Anolis sagrei: one gene and its partner. The protein of the gene in region 2 binds, or shares a complex with, the protein of the main gene of each other region. Links are inferred from orthologs where the notes say so. Each region holds a gene or a part of one and is shown on either strand. Other genes may lie near its edges.

Region 1 (8,643 bases), on a different chromosome or scaffold from region 2:
TAAATGTAATTTCCTATTGGTTCTATCATAAAAACATGAAAAATGTTTATAAAACTTCGTTTTTGCGAGATATCCTTTAGCAATTTTGCTATATGTGTTGTCGAAAGTTTTCGTGGCAAGAATCACTGAGTTGCTGTGAGTTTTCTAGGGCATATGACTATGTTCCAGAAGCATTTTCTCCTGATGTTTCGCCTGCATCTATGGCAGGCATCCTCAAAGGTTGTGAGGTAAGTTGGAAACTAGGAAAGTGGGGTTTATATATCTGTGGAATGCCCAGGGTGGGAGAAAGAACTCTGTTTGTTTGAGGCAAGTGTGAATGTTGCAATTGGCTATTTTGATTAGAATTGGATGGCCTAGCAGCTTCAAGGACTGCCTGATTCCCGTCCGGGGGGGGGGGGGGGGGGCGGGGCGGGATATTTTGCCATAGTTTAAAAATGAATATCACCAAGGCTCCTTTTACAATGTTATATAATCCAGATTATCAAATCAGATAATCCACATTATCTGCTTTGAACTGGATTCTATGAGTCTACACTGCCATATAATCCAGTTCAAAGCAGATAATCTGGATTTTATGTGGAAGTGTAGAGGCTTAACCAATTCAACACAGTTTGTGGCAGCCACAAAAAATAAAGCTTCTGGAGTATAACAGCTAATTTCAAAGTAAGTACCACAGAATTAAACAGGAAATAACACTTTCAAACCAGAAACAGATTTCCTCCCCAAGTTTTGTTACATAGTGTAACTAATTGAAGATATGGGCTGTAGGACTAGGAGTGGACCTACTACTCAATGGCTAGACCAGTGTTTCCCAAACACTGGTCGAGATGCTAGTCTTCCAGATGTTTTAGACTTCAACTCCCAGAATCCCTGATCATTTCTCAAGGCAGCTGAGGCTACTGGGAGTTGAAGTGAAAAACTGGAAGACTAGAGTTTGGGAATACTGGGACTGCCTGTATATATAGTGAACATGGGATAAAGTTAAGGTTTCTATGTTACTCATGTCACGGGGACAAAATATACATGCTTAAAGTGCTCCTGTTCACTATTCCGATAATTCAGTGAGGTCCCTTAACTCTCTCCATCATATCTTTCTCCATCAGCAGTCCGCATTCTGTGATCCCTGAACATTGTTCTCAATGGAATATCTCAAAGTGCCCACGTATGGGGTGAAGGACACTACTTGTGGGCTTTACCTTATCACCACTTCTGCAGTCTTTCTGGCTTTATCAATCTGCTAATACACATGGCCAAATAAGCTAGATTTATTTGTGAGTGTGTGTGTATGGTGCTGTTATGGCCAGATAAGAGATAGCATTCTTTCCTGAACATCAAAGAAAATGGTAACTAGAACAGCAGAGAAAAAAGAGACAGAGCTTGGAAAAACTATCTAAATTTTTATGTGTTACTTGTTACTTTATAAGTAACTGTTAATTAATGTTTTACTAACACATTGCTTTTGGGTTACTATTTTCAAAACAAAAATCCTCTTAAAAATAGCAAAATGTTCCCATTGCCCTCAAATGTCCTCAGTGTTTTAGAACAAATATATTAATTAGTTTGATGTTACCAGTTGTTATATCATTACTCAAAGGGCCGCCTTTATGTCAGTTTCTTAAAAGATAAACATAATTCTGACTGGATTTCAAATCCATGGATTCTGCATCTACAGATTCAACCATAGACAGCTTGCATATATTTTAAAAGCCTCAAAGCAAACTTGATTTTACCAGCAAACATAGTAGCTGTAGCAGATGCTTAGGGATCCTTTTAAAGAAAGGGTTATAGTTCTGTGGGTCCACTTCAATAGTCATGGTTTTCTAGGATCAGCATGTTAGAAAGGGGTATTTAGACTTTTCACTCTAATGCCTCAACAAACTACGCATCCCAGGATTCCATGGAATGCAACTGTGGCAGTTGCAGTGGAATCATGCTGTGAGTACCAGGTAGTGTGCCAGGTATGAAGTGGGGGCAAATCATACCCTTTTTTTCTTTAGGTAGGATGGCAGACTGGGATTCACAGAGGTGTGAGCAGCTAGGTCGTGCACTTTAGGCCTATTACAGATGATATATGTATTTTATTTGTTCTGGTGGCTAGCAGATACAGCCATATTTTCTATGATTTCACTACAGTATGACCCCCCTCCCCCTCCATTTGTGGGGGGGGGGGGTAAGTTCCCTGACTTCATGTGGATACACAGAACCACAGATTATAGAGAACCCTATTGTATGAAGGTCTTGGACCAAGAATAGCATAAAGTCACACTGGGGAATCTAGAAAATGCCTAGATGTATTGATAAATGGAACTGGGGGGGAGGGGGCACTGATTTTGTGAATACATGTTTGTACTGCATTGTGTCCAAAGGTTCTTATGTTATTATAGTGTATGTTTACTTGATGCATAGCTTCCTTGGTTAATTAAACATGTGTATACCTAAATGCACCAGATTCCCTCTGATTTTGGAAGCTAAGCAGTCAATGCTAGTTAGCGCTTGGGTGGGAGACCACCAACAACCAAACCCTGATGGCGCAATTGGTTCAATCCTTGTGTGGGCAGGACTGCTGATCAACATGTCAGCAGTTAGAATCCGGGGAGAGCGTGGATGAGCTCCCTCTGTCAGCTCCAGCTCCCCATGCAGGGAAATGAGAGAAGTCTCCCACAAAGATGGTAAAACACCAAACATCTGGGAGTCCCCTGGGCAACGTCTTTGGAGACGGCCAATTCTCTCACACCAGAAGCGACTTGCAGTTTCTCAAGTTGCTCCTGACATTAAAAAAAAGCCCAACCTATTCCAGATACTGTAGGATATATTTCAATGGAAGGAAAGGCAAAAACTGTTCTGAGTATTCCTAATGTGAAATTAATGGGTCACCATATGTTGAAAGCCAACTTGAAAGCACATAAATGTATCCAAGTAGTGGTAAAAGGGGAGAAAGTGTTCAAATTTCAGCTTGTTGGACCAACATAAAACCTACCTTGAGGCATGAAAGAAAGCCTCCTACACCACCAAATTTCCCTCCCCTCTCCCACTCTGATACAGAATCCCAATGATAGATCTAGGGGTATCTATCTCACTTGACCCTTATTGTAGTTTTGCAAGTGTGCTGCTTCAGAATTGATTGATTGATTGATTGTATACATCTTAAGTCTCCTGTAAACTTATGAATTTTATAGGGTTTTCTAGGGCAAGGAATAATCAGATGTGGGGCCCTTTCACACAGCCATATAACCCAGAATATCAAGGCAGAAAATGCCACAATGTCTGCTTTTAACTGGGTTATCTGAGTCCACATTGCTTTATATTCCAGTTCCAAGCAGAAAATGTGGGATTTTATTCAGCTGTGTGGAAGGAGCTGTGATTTTGTCAGTTGTTTACTCTAAAATATACCGCACAGCAGCAGGTATTTGTTGTAAGTCTCCCATACAAGTAGTAACCAAAACTGATCCTGTTTAGCTTCAAATGGGATTTGGTGCCTTTAGGGCATGCATCTAGGCCCTTATGTGATTGATTAGAGTGATAAAATATTTTTTTTATTTCTCCATTTTCTAATTGTGTTTTTGTTCTAATGCTGCCTTGTAATTAATTTGAAGCTAACCATCCTGCCCCAGCATGGGAGATAATGTGTCACTGACATGTAGCATTCTACTGAACTAACCTTGCCATACTGTGTCTCCAGCATCCTTCCAGAGATCCCTTTCTTTTCCTATGGCTCAGCCAAGGTCATGCGCTAGGTCTTTCAATTTCCATTTTGTGGTGTATGGGGAGTTGCTAGCTATCTTCAAAAGGCTGCAAAGTGCATAAGCCTGCTATAGACTTAATAGTTTCTACTTAACAAAATAGCAGTCCTCCTACGAAGAGAAATAAATGAATGGGAGTGTTACCGCTATCATTTTAATGAGTCTCTGTGCTTGAATGACACTCCAACCACATCAGTTATTTCTTGCCTGAGATATTGCATAGGATATTACATACAGTCTGCCTGTCACATTTGCAGATTTAACTTTTGTGATTATTTGAGGATGTGCTTAAGATGTTCTTTTTAGGCATCTCCAAGTCCTTCTGCGTGATTTCACCCATATAGTTGTGACAAAGGACCTAGAAAATTCCTAGAGTAGGTCCTCCAGAGTGATTCAATTTCCAGCAGAGGTTGAGTATTGAGTTGTGCTGGAGGACCTAAAGCAGTGGTTGTTAACCTGTGGGTCGCAGACCACCAGTGGACTGTGAGGACGAAAATCTGGTCCGCGAGCCTCCTTCCTCTTTATTTTATTTCCACTCTTTTCCCACTACCTGCCACTCCTTCCCTGTCGCTGACCGTGGCATATGTTCTGTATCAGAAACTAGAGCTGATATGGTCTATCCAATGCAATTTTCTGAATGAGCACCCCAAACTGAAATCTAAAGTTGACCAAAAACTGATCCGTAACTCTTTTGCTACTAATGTTGGAGAGTGGTCTCTGGTCAAAGTGGTCCCTGGTCCGCTTTGGGAACCATTTGACCTAGAGAGATATTCTCTAAGGGAAGAAAAATAGCATTTTTTAATTTGCAGTTCTACTTTTGTAGAGGTCTTGCATTCCTAAATCCAGAGAATGTGACGGGTCTGACTGTATGGAACAGCAGCTTAATAAAGAAGTGTGCCCAATATTGTACTGTGACTGCTACAGGCCAACCTGACCCAAACTAGTGGTTTTTTGGTTGCTGGACTACATATGCCATCACCCCCGAGCCACATGATGGTATTTTTAATCCAATATGTCTCGCTAATGCCCTGTTGGAGAAAACTGCCATGTGGATTGTTATAGGATTTGCTGAAAACACAGAGTTTGCAACATGTGGTTTCAATATTATCAGCCTTGTATGATAATTGCTTTTCTGTGTGGAAAATAACTCAGTTTGCCATTTCTGCATGCTGCTTTCAAACGCCTGCAATGGTATGTCTTAAAAGCAACTTAATCGGTGATAATGCAGGGCAGGACTCTCCCTTCCTCCTATTTTCCTGCTTTTTCCTCCCTGCCTCCCCCTCTTTCTGTTATATATCCCCTGCAGGCAGAGTTTGCTGAGCTAGTTAAACTGGCTCTTTCTGTCTTGTGCATTTTTTTTTGGCAACAGAGAAGTTCCTCTTTTATAAAAACAAGCAGGCAGACTGTCTGATTGGCCATGAGTTTGGAAAGGATATGACATCAACCACATCCCTCACTTTGTTCTGTGTGCCTGAAATCTTTTTCCACTTCTTTTACTCAGCCAATGAAGAGGTGTTCTGTTAAACTGCAATACCAAGGTATTTGGGTTGCTCTGGACTTGGGTCTGGTATTGATGTTCCAGTCTTCGACCAAGTGTTATTTTAAACCCACCCACAGATTTTTTAAAATAAATCACTCATTGGAACATGTTTGTTTTCCTCAACAGGCAAGATGGTATTTGAGCTTGCAAGATCTCAAACTGTGAAGTGAAATAACAGTATTCAGGCGAGTTGCAATGGAAGGAGCAAATGCAGATTCTCATTCATCCCAAGGATCAGAAAGCCAGTCTCATCATGTACCTTTGCGACCGAATCCATTGATGGGTGGTGAGTAATCTTGCTGTATGTAAAAGAAAGTGTTCATAGTGGAAAGGCCATGGGAGATGTGTTAGGATAACTTAACTGCTTTGTATTTATTTAGAAACTTTGCATGCCACCCTTGATGTTATATCAAGTTGTTTACACCGCAAAGGAATAAATAGTAGCAATGAAATGCAAAAACATACGTGGAGCAGGAATAGAAAAAGTTGTGCGAAGTTGTGTGAAGATATGTTATGCTACCCTTGATGATATATAAGTGATCTGCAGTACAAATTACAGTGAATAAATACAGACAATATAAATATGAAATGCAAAAAATCATATATATATAAAAATCATATATAAAAAGTTACTGTGGCTGTAATCCCTATGCGGTTTTAGCTGGGAAAATGCACCCTTCCAGTCAATAAGACTTAAGTTCTGAATAGACATGCATAATAGGACTGAGCTGTAAAATGCTTAATACAACAGTGGGCTATGCACAATAACACTATAGAGCAGGCATGGGCAAACTTCACCCCTCCAGGTGTTTCGGATTTCAACTCCCACAATTTCTAACAGCCGGTAAGCTGTTAGGAATTGTGGGAGTTGAAGTCCAAAACACCTGGAAGGCCGAAGTTTGCCCATGCTTGCTATAGAGCCTGCTTTCTTTAAAATAAAGCAACCCTGAGAGACATAAAAGTCTGACTCATGAATTGCTTTGTGAAGTTGCCCTGCTGCTAGATGTGTATTTGTATTAGATGGCATGATGTGATGACCAGATTCATAGCTGTGCAATTAGTTTGGGGAAAGGGGGGTTATTTTTCCCAAAACAGTTGGTGTTCCCTTATAAAGGATGTTCTTTTTGCAAATAGGTGATTTGTTGCTTTTTAAATGACATGACTAAATATCACATTTATAGTTTTTTGTGAACTTTTTTTGTGTGTCAGGAGCAATTTGAGAAACTTTAAGTTGCTTCTGATGTAAGAGAATTGGCCGTGTGCAAGGACATTGCCCAGGAGACACTCGGATGTTTTACCATCCTATGGGAGGCTTCTCTCATGTCTCCACATGAGAAGCTGGAGCTGACAGATGGAAGCTCACCTCGCTCCCCACATTCGAATCATTGACCCTTCGGTCGGCAATCTTGCCGGCACAAGGGTTTAACCCATTGTGCCACCGAGGGCTTCTTTTGTGAACTTACCATATATATACATATAGTCAATTCATCAAAGTTGCCTACAAATATTTATATGATAAGACTTCCTATTTACAATATTAAAATTCTCATCACATCTAATTGTGATCCGCACTCTCTCATCTCTGGACTCTGTGGTAACTTTATGCACTCTAGATATGCCTTTTTTTCTCTTTGTGTCAGAAGTGACTTGAGAAATTGCAAGTCGCTTCTGGTGTGAGAGAATTGGCCATCTGCAAGGACGTTGCCCATTGTGCCACCGGGGGGCACCTTCTAGATATTCTGGAACCCTACAGTCATTATCCTCAGCCATTATATCCATGTCCAATGACCTTGCTGACTGGGGATGCTGGAAACCCCAGTGAGTAGAAGAGGACTATTCTGTAGTCATCCTCCAATGTTGACTTTGTAGATTGCAAGGTATTTGGGAAGATATCTGTTTTGCTTCTATAAAGAAAGTACCGTTATACACAGATAGTCCCCCTTATCTGCAGGGGACATGTTGCTAGACTGTGTAGATATGTGAAACCACAGATAATAGACTACACTGATGGTGTCTTTGTCAACATGTTAAGTCTGTAACATCAATACAAAACAAAACAAAAAAAGACCTTTCCATATTGGGGCTCATTTCGCACTACATAGTGGTTTCACTTTAGCTACTGTGACAACTTCCCAAAGAATTCTGGAACATGGAGTTCAGAAAGCGGTATCTGACTCTGGAAGGTAAAGGTAAAATTTTCCCCTGACATTAAGTCTAGTCGTGTCCAACTCTGGGGGTGGTGGTGCTCATCTCCATTTCTAAGCCGAAGAGCCATTGTTGTCCGTAGACACCTCCTGACTGCATGGAGCACTCTTACTTTCCTGCAGAAGCAGTACCTATTGATCTACTCACATTTGCATGTTTTCAAAGTGTTAGCATGCAGAAGCTGGGCCTAACAGCGGGTGCTCACCCTCTCCCTGAATTCGAACTGCCAACCTTTCGGTCAGCAAGTTCAGCAGTTCAGTAGTTTAACCCACTGCGCCACCCTTTACCTTGGAAACCAGGGTTCAAACAGCTGTTCACCCATGAAAACCCACAGGGTCCCATTCTCTGAGCCTCAGAGAATGGCCATCGCAAACTCTTCTGAATAAATCTTGCCAGTGATAGTGTCACTTTAGGGTTTCCATAGGTTGGAAACAACTTAAAGCCATACAGCAACGATTCCAAATGTAGAATGGGACTTTCTAACTTTTATTTCACTTGGAGCTTTAAATTTGTTCTGTTATGATGTGATTTAGGTGCATTTTAAATTTTACATTTGTACCCTGCTTTGAGGAGCCCCTGGTGGCAGAGTGGGTTAAACTGCTGAGCTACTGAACTTGCTGACCAAAAGATCAGCATTTCAAATCCGGGGAGTGGGGTAAGCTCCAGCTGGTAACCCCAGCTGCTACCAACCTAGCAGTTTGAAAACATGCAAATGTGAAGAGATCAATACCACTCTGGCAGGAAGGTAACTGCGCTCCATGCAGTCATGCCAGCCACATTACCATGGAGGTGTCTATGGGCAACGCTGGCTCTTGGGCTTAGAAATGGAGATGAGCACCAACCCCCAAAGTCAGACATGACTGGACTTAATGTCAAGGGAATACCTTTACCTTATCCTGCTTTGTCTCCAGTAAAGCAATGCATTATGACATCATTATAAAGCATATTAAATTAAATTAAAGCACTTTCACATTCATCAGGTGGCTAGTGATAGAATCATTTTTTCCATGGAAATACAAGTCTTTAGTGGCAAATGGCTAATCCTGTGTGAATTTTATCTTGACTTTCCTGTTAATTTGGTGGAGAAACAGTGCATGAGGACTCAGGCTAAGGCCTTCTTTGAATTCTTTCACATTATACACTTATATCAGTATTATT
Region 2 (7,842 bases):
AATCGCTCCTGACACAGAAAGAAACAAAACTGGGGGCATAATCCTTGTTGACAGCTGTACTGAAAAGGAAGAATAATTTTTGTGTGTGAAATAAAATCTCTATCCCGATTACAATACAGGAATAGTGACCTTGGACTCCAACGTCCCACTGAAACCAGCAGTACCACTTACCCCCAAGTAAACATTCCCAGGCTTGGCCTACAAATGTCAAGCAGAGGTTAGTTCTTAGAGAAGTAGCCATTCCCCCAGAGCGTGGATATTTTCTGTGAAGTTTATACAGAGAGGCAGTTAATCACTCACATGACGCGTATGTCCAGCTAGCCCCAATCCCTTAAAGCTCTTATTTGCATTTCAGCCCAGATCTTTTTTAAAAAAATTACTGCAATCTCAATAGAGCCAGAAGAAGCAGCTCAAGATGCGACAAACTTGGGCTCCAAAAACACATACCTGATGATGCAAGATTGGTTGTTATGAATTAAATTTAATCTGGCACTTAGAATCATAGAGTTGGAAGAGACCACATGGGCCATCTAGTCCAACCCCCGCCATGCAGGAAGTAAAGCTAAAGGTTTCCCCTTGACATTAAGTCTAGTTGTGTCCGACTCTGGTGGGCGGTGCTCATCTCCATTTCTAAGCCAAAGAGCCGGCGTTGTCCATAGACACCTCCAAGGTCATGTGGCCAGCATGGCTGCATGAAGTGCCATTACCTTCCCGCCAAAGCAGTATCTATTGATCTACACACATTTGCATGTTTTCGAACTGCTAGGTTGGCAGAAGCTGGGGCTAGCAGTGGGAGCTCACCCCGCTCCCTGGATTCAAACCGCCAACCTTTTGGTCAGCAAGTTCAGCAACTCAGTGGTTTAACCCGCTATGCCACCAGGTATCTTTAAGCATGAATAGATTTTGGAATATATGAGGAGTCCTGGAACTAAACCTCAGCGGATACCAAGGTCCTTCCCGCCGAAGCAATACCCATTGATCTACTCACATTTGCATGTTTTCAAACTGCTAAGTTGGCAGACACTGGGGCTATCAGTGGGAGCTCGCCCCCGCTCCTCGGATTCAAACTGTCGACCTTTTGGTCAGCAAGTTCAGCTCAGCGATTTAACCCGCTTAGCCATTAGGACTGTGCAGGAAAAGCACAGTCAAAGTTTGGTGAGGTTGGAACGTTTACCGCACTACATTGCACATTAGCACATTGTTTACCTGCATCACACACAGATTGTTGCCCTCTCTAACATGGTTTACAGGCTTCAACATACCTTCCATAATTCTGTCAATCCTTCCAAGTAATTCCTCTTTGCCAGATGGTCTTTGACTAGCAGGGAAATGATACTAAAGCACAGCCTCCTGTTTCCGCAGGATCAGTATCGATGGTTTCAATTATCCTGATCCATCAAAATACATCCTCTCTAGGCATTTTCTAAGTCCTCCTCCAGCAGGACTGTGTGGTATTCTTGGGCCAGAAGTCCTTCAATTCAACAGAATTGGATATGATCCGTATTTTTTGCATATCCATGCAGTCTGGAAATGTATTTTCTGTGGATACAGCAATTATATAATTTTCATCATCTTTCACCAACATCTTTCTAGAGCCTACTAGGTGTTACAGCCTGGATTCGAATCCTGCCCAAGAATATAGAAACCAAGGAGGGAGAGAGAGAGGGAGGGTGGCCAATGGGACATGTTCTTTCTGGCATGGCATTCATGTGATGCTATCTATGGTCATTTCACTCAGGTGTTTCAGTTCGCTTGGACTTGATTTTGGATGGCGTGATTTTAATAACTCTTTTAAAATAGTGTTTATCAGTGGGTTTTAATACAAAAGTTATTATATTATCGATGTGTAATTTTTTATGCTTTATGTCTAAATGCTCTTTTATGTTTATATTTTAATTTGGTTAGGTTTAATTCATAGTTATGTTATTGTCTTGCTATTAGTATTTTGGTTTTCACATGTATGTACAGCATGTTGCCTTTATAAGGCTGGAAACCGCTTTGAATTCCCTTAGGACAGCGTTTCTCAATCTGGGGGTCAGGACCTGGGACGGGGGTCACAAGGGGGTTTCAGAAAGGTTGCCAAAGATCATCAGAAAACATATATTTCTGATGGTCTTAAGAACCCTTTTGACAGAGAAGGCTGAAGATCTCATCGTCTGTCCTTCTCTTCCTTTTTAGAAACAGACTGCGAATCCTCCCACAAAAAGCCCCCCTCAGCTGTGATTGACTGGCCTCTCAGCCAAGGGAAGAGCTGTTTCTGAGACTTCAAGAGGGGAGGGGAGAGCAGGCGTGCTTGGCGAATGGTGTGCATGTGTGGGCGAGGGAGAGCGTGTGAGGCTGAAGGGAGGTTTGCACCAGCAAGTACCTTCAAGGTATGGGGGTGCTGTGTGGGAAGTTTGGCCCAATTCTATCATTGGTGGAGTTCAGAATGCTCTTTGATTGTAGGCTATAATTCCCAGTAACTACAACTCCCAAATGTCAAGATCTATTTTCCCTAAACTCCACCAGTGTTTACAGTTGGGCATATTATTTGTACCAAGTTTGGTCCAGATTCATCATTGTTGGAGTCCACAGTACTCTCTGGATATAGGTGAACTACAACTCCAAAACCCAAGGTCAATGCCCAGCAAACCCTTCCAGTATTTTCTCTTGGTCATGGGAGGTTAGCGTGCCAAGTTTGGTTCAATTCTCTCAGTTGGTGGAGTTCAGAATGCTCTTTGATTGTAGGTGAACTATAAATCCCAGCAACTACAACTCCCAAATGTCAAGATTGATTTTCCCTAAGCTCCACCAGTGTTTACAGTTGGGCATATTGAGTATTCGTGCCAAGTTTGGTCCAGATCCATCATTGTTTGAGTCCACAGTGCTCTCTGGATATATGTGAACTACAACTCCAAAGCTCAAGGTCAACGATATCAAACTCTTCCGGTATTTTCTTGTTAGTTGTGGGAGTTTTGTGTGCCAAGTTTGGTTCAATTATGTCAGTTGGTGGAGTTCAGAATGCTCTTTGGTTGTAGGTGAACTATAAATCCCAGCAACTACAAATGAGAAAATAAATTCCCCTCAATGCCACCAGTATTCAAATTTGGATGTATTGGATATTTGTGCCAAATTTGGCCCAGTGAATGAAAATACATCCTGCATATCAGATATTTACATTACGATTCATAACAGGAGCAATATTACAGTTCTGGAAGTAGCAAGGAAAATAATGTTATGGTTGGGGGTCACCACAACATGAGGAACTGTATTAAAGGGCCACAGCATTAGGAAGGTTGAGAAACACTATGCTAAAGATTATGCAAAATTCCAAAATTGGAAATACTCCTAAATCTGAAATAGTCCACATGAGTGACTGAGATATTGGTGCTTTTCCTTTCTGATGGTTCAGTGTACACACACTTTGTTTCATGGGAAAAATAGTTAAAGTATTATATAAAATCAACTTAATTTTATGGTTGAGGGGTTATCACAACACGAGGGGGTATTAAGGGGGTTGTAGTATTAGGAAGAGTAAGAAACACTGCTTTAGGGGTTTTTAGACCTCAGTGGAGGTGGATGCATGTTGCTGTTTGGACTTTAGTAGAGAAGTATGACTTTCAGACTTCAGTGAGTATAGCTATATTTAAAGACTGTGGACAATTGACTAAGTATCATACTTAAGAGACCATATCTTATCTAACTGAACTCTAATAAGAAATGTGCCTGTGTGGTGAATATATACAAGAAGTTTGTTAGTAAACCCAAAATGTTATTTTCAAAGACTACTTTGTTTTGTCTCCCGAGTGCATGTTTTAAACAAGAGTTTTTGTAAGGGAGAGTAGATGGGCAACTTCAACTTCAAAGAAACAGCCATCCTCTGCTAACCAAATATATTTTTGTAATTGCATGTCTTTATCCTTGGCTATTTAAAGACATGGTTCTTCAGTTTAACAGCTGAGTTATTTGTGTGCCATTACACTGCTTTTTCTGCCAACCTAGCAGTTCAAAAACATGCAAATGTGAGTAGATCAATAGGTACCGCTCCGGCGGGAAGGTAACGGCACTCCATGCAGTCATGCCGGCCACATGACCTTGGTGGTGTCTACAGACAACGCCGGCTCTTCGGCTTAGAAATGGAGATGAGCACCACACCCCAGAGTCAGACATGACTGGACTTAATGTCAGGGGACTACCTTTACCTTTTACACTGCTTTAGGGAGAGAAAAGTGAGATATAAATGCAGTCAATAAAGAAGTACATGCTCCCAGAGCACCTGCCAGCTTGGGACCCACCCTTGTTTACTTTCTCCCAGAGATGCAGTATCTCCCTTTGTAAGGCTTTGCTATTTCATCATCTCACTTTGTCTCCTTGGAGGAGGAGGAGGGTCCATGTCCTTCCCTTTCTTCCCTTCAGAATTGGAACCCAAAAAGACTGGGACTCTTCCTTTCTCCTCTCCCTCTCCACCTGACTGGGAGGCCTGGCTGCAAACTGGGAGCGACTGGGCCAGCAGAGCCCTCTCTCTCCCTCCCTCCATCCTCCTCCTCCTCCTGGAGAGCAAGCCTCCAATGGAATGAATGGAATATAAATAGTGTCCAATGGGTGCTTGGCTTGGGCTGGATATATAAGCGGAGGGAGGGCGGGGGTACGGCTCCATTCGAGGCAGGTCTGTCTGGAAGAGCAGCCGGGTTCCTCCTTCCTTCCACTCACTCACTCACTCACCCACTCGAGGAGGCACAAGTGCGCCGCTTTTGTCTTGCTCTGACCCTCTCGGTAAGTGCTGGGAGGCAAGTCAACCAGGAGTCTTGGGGAGGAAGCCTATCATTTCCAAGGGAGAGCCAATGACCTTGCGATGCTTGCTCTTCTTCATGCCAATGTGCTTTGGGGTTTTGGAGAAGGGAAGGGAAAGGATGCCGAGAGTAACCAAGGCGTGGTGAGTTGGGAGACAGAAGATGCTGCTGCTCTTGACTCTCTTCCTGGCTCTGAAAAGCAAGAGCAAGACCACTCTCGTTCCCATTCTTTTGCCTCCTGCCTGCAGGGCTCAAGCTGCCTCCTTCTCCCATCCCTTGGCCCCGAATTGGCATTTAAGCAGGGGATGGGTTGGCATGATCCTCCTCTGCGCCAAGCAGAGAGGAGTTTCGTTACATAACGGGAGCGCCCTTTCGTTTTCCCCCTTCGTTCCCTCCACTTGGAGGGCGAGCGCGAGGAAGAGATGGAGTGGCCATCTTCCCCAAGGATGGGTGCAAAGGGAGCCGAAGCTTCTCAGTGGCTTGCTTTCCAGAGCCAGCCTTGCCCCAAGGACTTCCCTATCTCAGTCCTCCCCTAGAGAAGGTGTACCTTGCAGGGAAATTCTCCCCCTCTCCTCCTATCTGTGCTTTCCACAGCATGGTTTTTTTTTTCCTTCTCCTGTCAGGAGCGAAACTGCAAGTCGCTTCTGGTGTGAGAGAATTTGGCTGTCTGCAAGGACGTTGCCCAGAGGATGTAGCTGACAGGTGGGAGCTCAGCTCACTCCCTCATTCAAATCGTGGTGTGAGAGAATTGGCCGTCTGTAAGGATGTTGCCCAGGGGACGCCCGGATGTTTTGATGTTTTTATCCTCCTTTTGGGAGGCTTCTCTCATGTCCCGGCATGGGAAGCTGTAGCTGACAGGTGGGAGCTCAGCTCACTTCCTGGATTCGAACCCCAAATTGCAAGTAGCTTCTGGTGTGAGAGAATTGGCCGTTTGCAAGGACGTTGCCCAGGGGATACCCGGATGTTTTGATGTTTTTGTCCTCCTTTTGGGAGGCTTCTCTCATGTCCCGGCATGGGAAGCTGGAGCTGACAGAGGGAAGCTCACCTCACTCCCCCATTCAAATCGTGGTGTGAGAGAATTGGCCGTCTGTAAGGACGTTGCCCAAGGGACGCCCGGATGTTTGATGTTTTTATCTTCCTTTTGGGAGCTGTAGCTGACAGATGGGAGCTCAACTCACTTCCTAGATTCAAACCCCAATATTGCAAGTAGCTTCTGGTTTGAGAGAACTGGTCGTTTGCAAGGACGTTGCCATCCTTGTGGGAGGCTTCTCTCATGTCCCTGCATGGGAAGCTGGAGCTGACAGAAGGAAGCTCACCCCACTCCCCCATTCAAATCCTCGTGTGAGAGAATTGGCTGTCTGCAAGGACGTTGCCCAGGTGACGCCCGGATGTTTTACCATCCCTGTGGGAGGCTTCTCCCATGTCCTGGCATGGGAAGCTGGAGCTGACAGAGGGAGCTCAACCCGCTCTCCTTGGATTCGAACCCCCAACCTTTAGTCAGCAGTCCTGTGGGCAGAAGAGTTTAACCCATTGCATCCTGGGGGGCTCCTGGAGGAAGAGCTTGGATGAGTCAAAAGGAGTGCGATAGAGGAGGCATGGGCAAACCTGGGCGGCTGAGGGGGAAAAGGAAGGGGCCTGAGGCTGTTTGGAATGGTGGGAGTTGAAGTCCGAAACACCTGGAGGGCCCAAGTTTGCCCATGCCTGCGATAGAGAGAGGTATCTCCCTCCCTTTGCCTTCCCCTTGGGCTGTTTATCAGGATGCCCGCCCCATATGTGCCTTTGAGCCCCCAGAATGTCCCTCAGATGCCTTGGCTCTCAGTCTTGAAGGAAAAGGGAAGGAAGGAATGGAATGGAGAAGCCAGCCGTGCGCTCTTGGCAAGCAAAGCGCAATGGGAGAGTCTCCACCCCACACCCTTCCTTCCCTTGGGCTGTTTGCAGGGATGTCAGATCCACCTGCTTTAAAGGGACCAAGGAGAGATTAGAGGGAGGAAGATTGGAGAGAGAGAGGGAACCCTCCTTGGCGCATTCCTCACTGCCAATTTTGCCCAGGACGCATCCATCCCCAACCGGCTTCTCCGCTCTTGCAAAAGCGAGGAGAGTAAGTGAGGCTGGGCTTTGGAGGCAGGAGAAACCAGGGCGGGTCCCCTCTCTCTCTTCCTCTCCTTTTCTGTGGCACCATCTGGCCAGGAGGAAGAGGATGCAAAAGAGAGTGTCCAAGTTTGGGCTTCAACTCTCCAGAAACAAGGGATTCCAGAGCCACCCATCCTTTTCCAAAAACATGTCTGCTCCCTTGCCTTGAAGGTGACCCTTTGGGACCAAGGAAAGGAGGAAGTGGGGCAAGGCTCAGAGAGACAGAGCTCTGCCGCTTTCTATTCCTGGCCTCCTCTTCTCTCTCTCAAGCCAGGCTCTTGACCTTGAGCAGATCCCTCCTGCCGGTCCCTGCTGTGTGGCCCTTCCTGGTGCCAAGAGGAAGAGGAGGCGGAAGGGGAATGTTGGCCCAGTGCCTGGCAATCCTCAGGTGCCGGGCGGGGAGAGTGCCTGCCTGGGCAGGTCGCAGTACCGGAGACAAGGTGACCTTGCTGCGAGGCCCAGCTCCCATCCGCAGCTCAAGCCCACAGCTAAGCTTTCCCCTCTCCTCTTCTTCTCCCTTCTTAGCTCCTTGCAGTCAGGGGCCCGCCATGCCATTCTCAAACAGCCACAACCTCTTGAAGAAGAACTACTCCGCCGAGGATGAGTACCCAGATCTGAGCGCCCACAACAACCATATGGCTAAAGTGCTGACCTTGGAGCTGTACACCAAGTTGCGGGATAGAGTGACTCCAAGCGGATTTTGTGTGGACGATGTGATTCAGACTGGGGTGGACAACCCAGGTAAAGGATGCCGGGGCAGCGGCCCTTCTGTGATCCGGATCTGTTCTCCCTTCATTAAGTGAGGAAGTGCTGCTTTGAAAATGGCATCTCAAAAGACCTCCTGATAAGACCTTCAAGAGGCCTAGCTGCATAATACCCTTGGGCATTGGCCTGAATTGCTGTGAGTTTTTTGGGCTGTATGTTTTGCCCACATCTATGGCAG

What was found. The genes of interacting proteins can lie anywhere in the genome.
Region 1: the proteins of CKB (region 2) and ASB9 are in contact, whole or in part, in a cryo-EM structure (PDB 6V9H), measured with the Homo sapiens proteins. The link is inferred for Anolis sagrei from reciprocal best matches to the Homo sapiens genes CKB and ASB9. Residues at the interface, in NP_001814.2 of Homo sapiens: Asn63, Pro64, Gly65, His66, Pro67, Tyr68, Ile69, Thr71, Arg130, Arg132, His191, Val198, Ser199, Pro200, Leu201, Leu202, Leu226, Trp228, Glu232, Ile238, Met240, Asn286, Arg292, Gly303, Lys304, His305, Glu306, Lys319, Arg320, Gly321; in NP_001026909.1 of Homo sapiens: Leu25, Asn27, Pro28, Leu29, Met30, Gly31, Asp32, Ala33, Val34, Ser35, Asp36, Trp37, Pro39, Glu42, Ile45, His46, Trp60, Ala67, Asp68, His69, Glu75, Ala100, Asp101, Trp102, Val111, Asp133, Leu134, Ser165, His166.

What each region holds. Positions count from the first base shown.
Region 1 is NC_090023.1:90,862,792-90,871,434, forward strand, and holds the start of ASB9 (ankyrin repeat and SOCS box protein 9), read left to right. Parts: upstream 1-5,059; 5' UTR 5,060-5,278; intron 5,279-5,406; 5' UTR 5,407-5,475; coding exon 5,476-5,566; intron 5,567-8,643. UniProt on the Homo sapiens protein: Substrate-recognition component of a cullin-5-RING E3 ubiquitin-protein ligase complex (ECS complex, also named CRL5 complex), which mediates the ubiquitination and subsequent proteasomal degradation of target proteins.
Region 2 is NC_090021.1:327,580,878-327,588,719, forward strand, and holds the start of CKB (creatine kinase B-type), read left to right. Parts: upstream 1-4,612; 5' UTR 4,613-4,752; intron 4,753-7,424; 5' UTR 7,425-7,447; coding exon 7,448-7,640; intron 7,641-7,842. UniProt on the Homo sapiens protein: Reversibly catalyzes the transfer of phosphate between ATP and various phosphogens (e.g. creatine phosphate).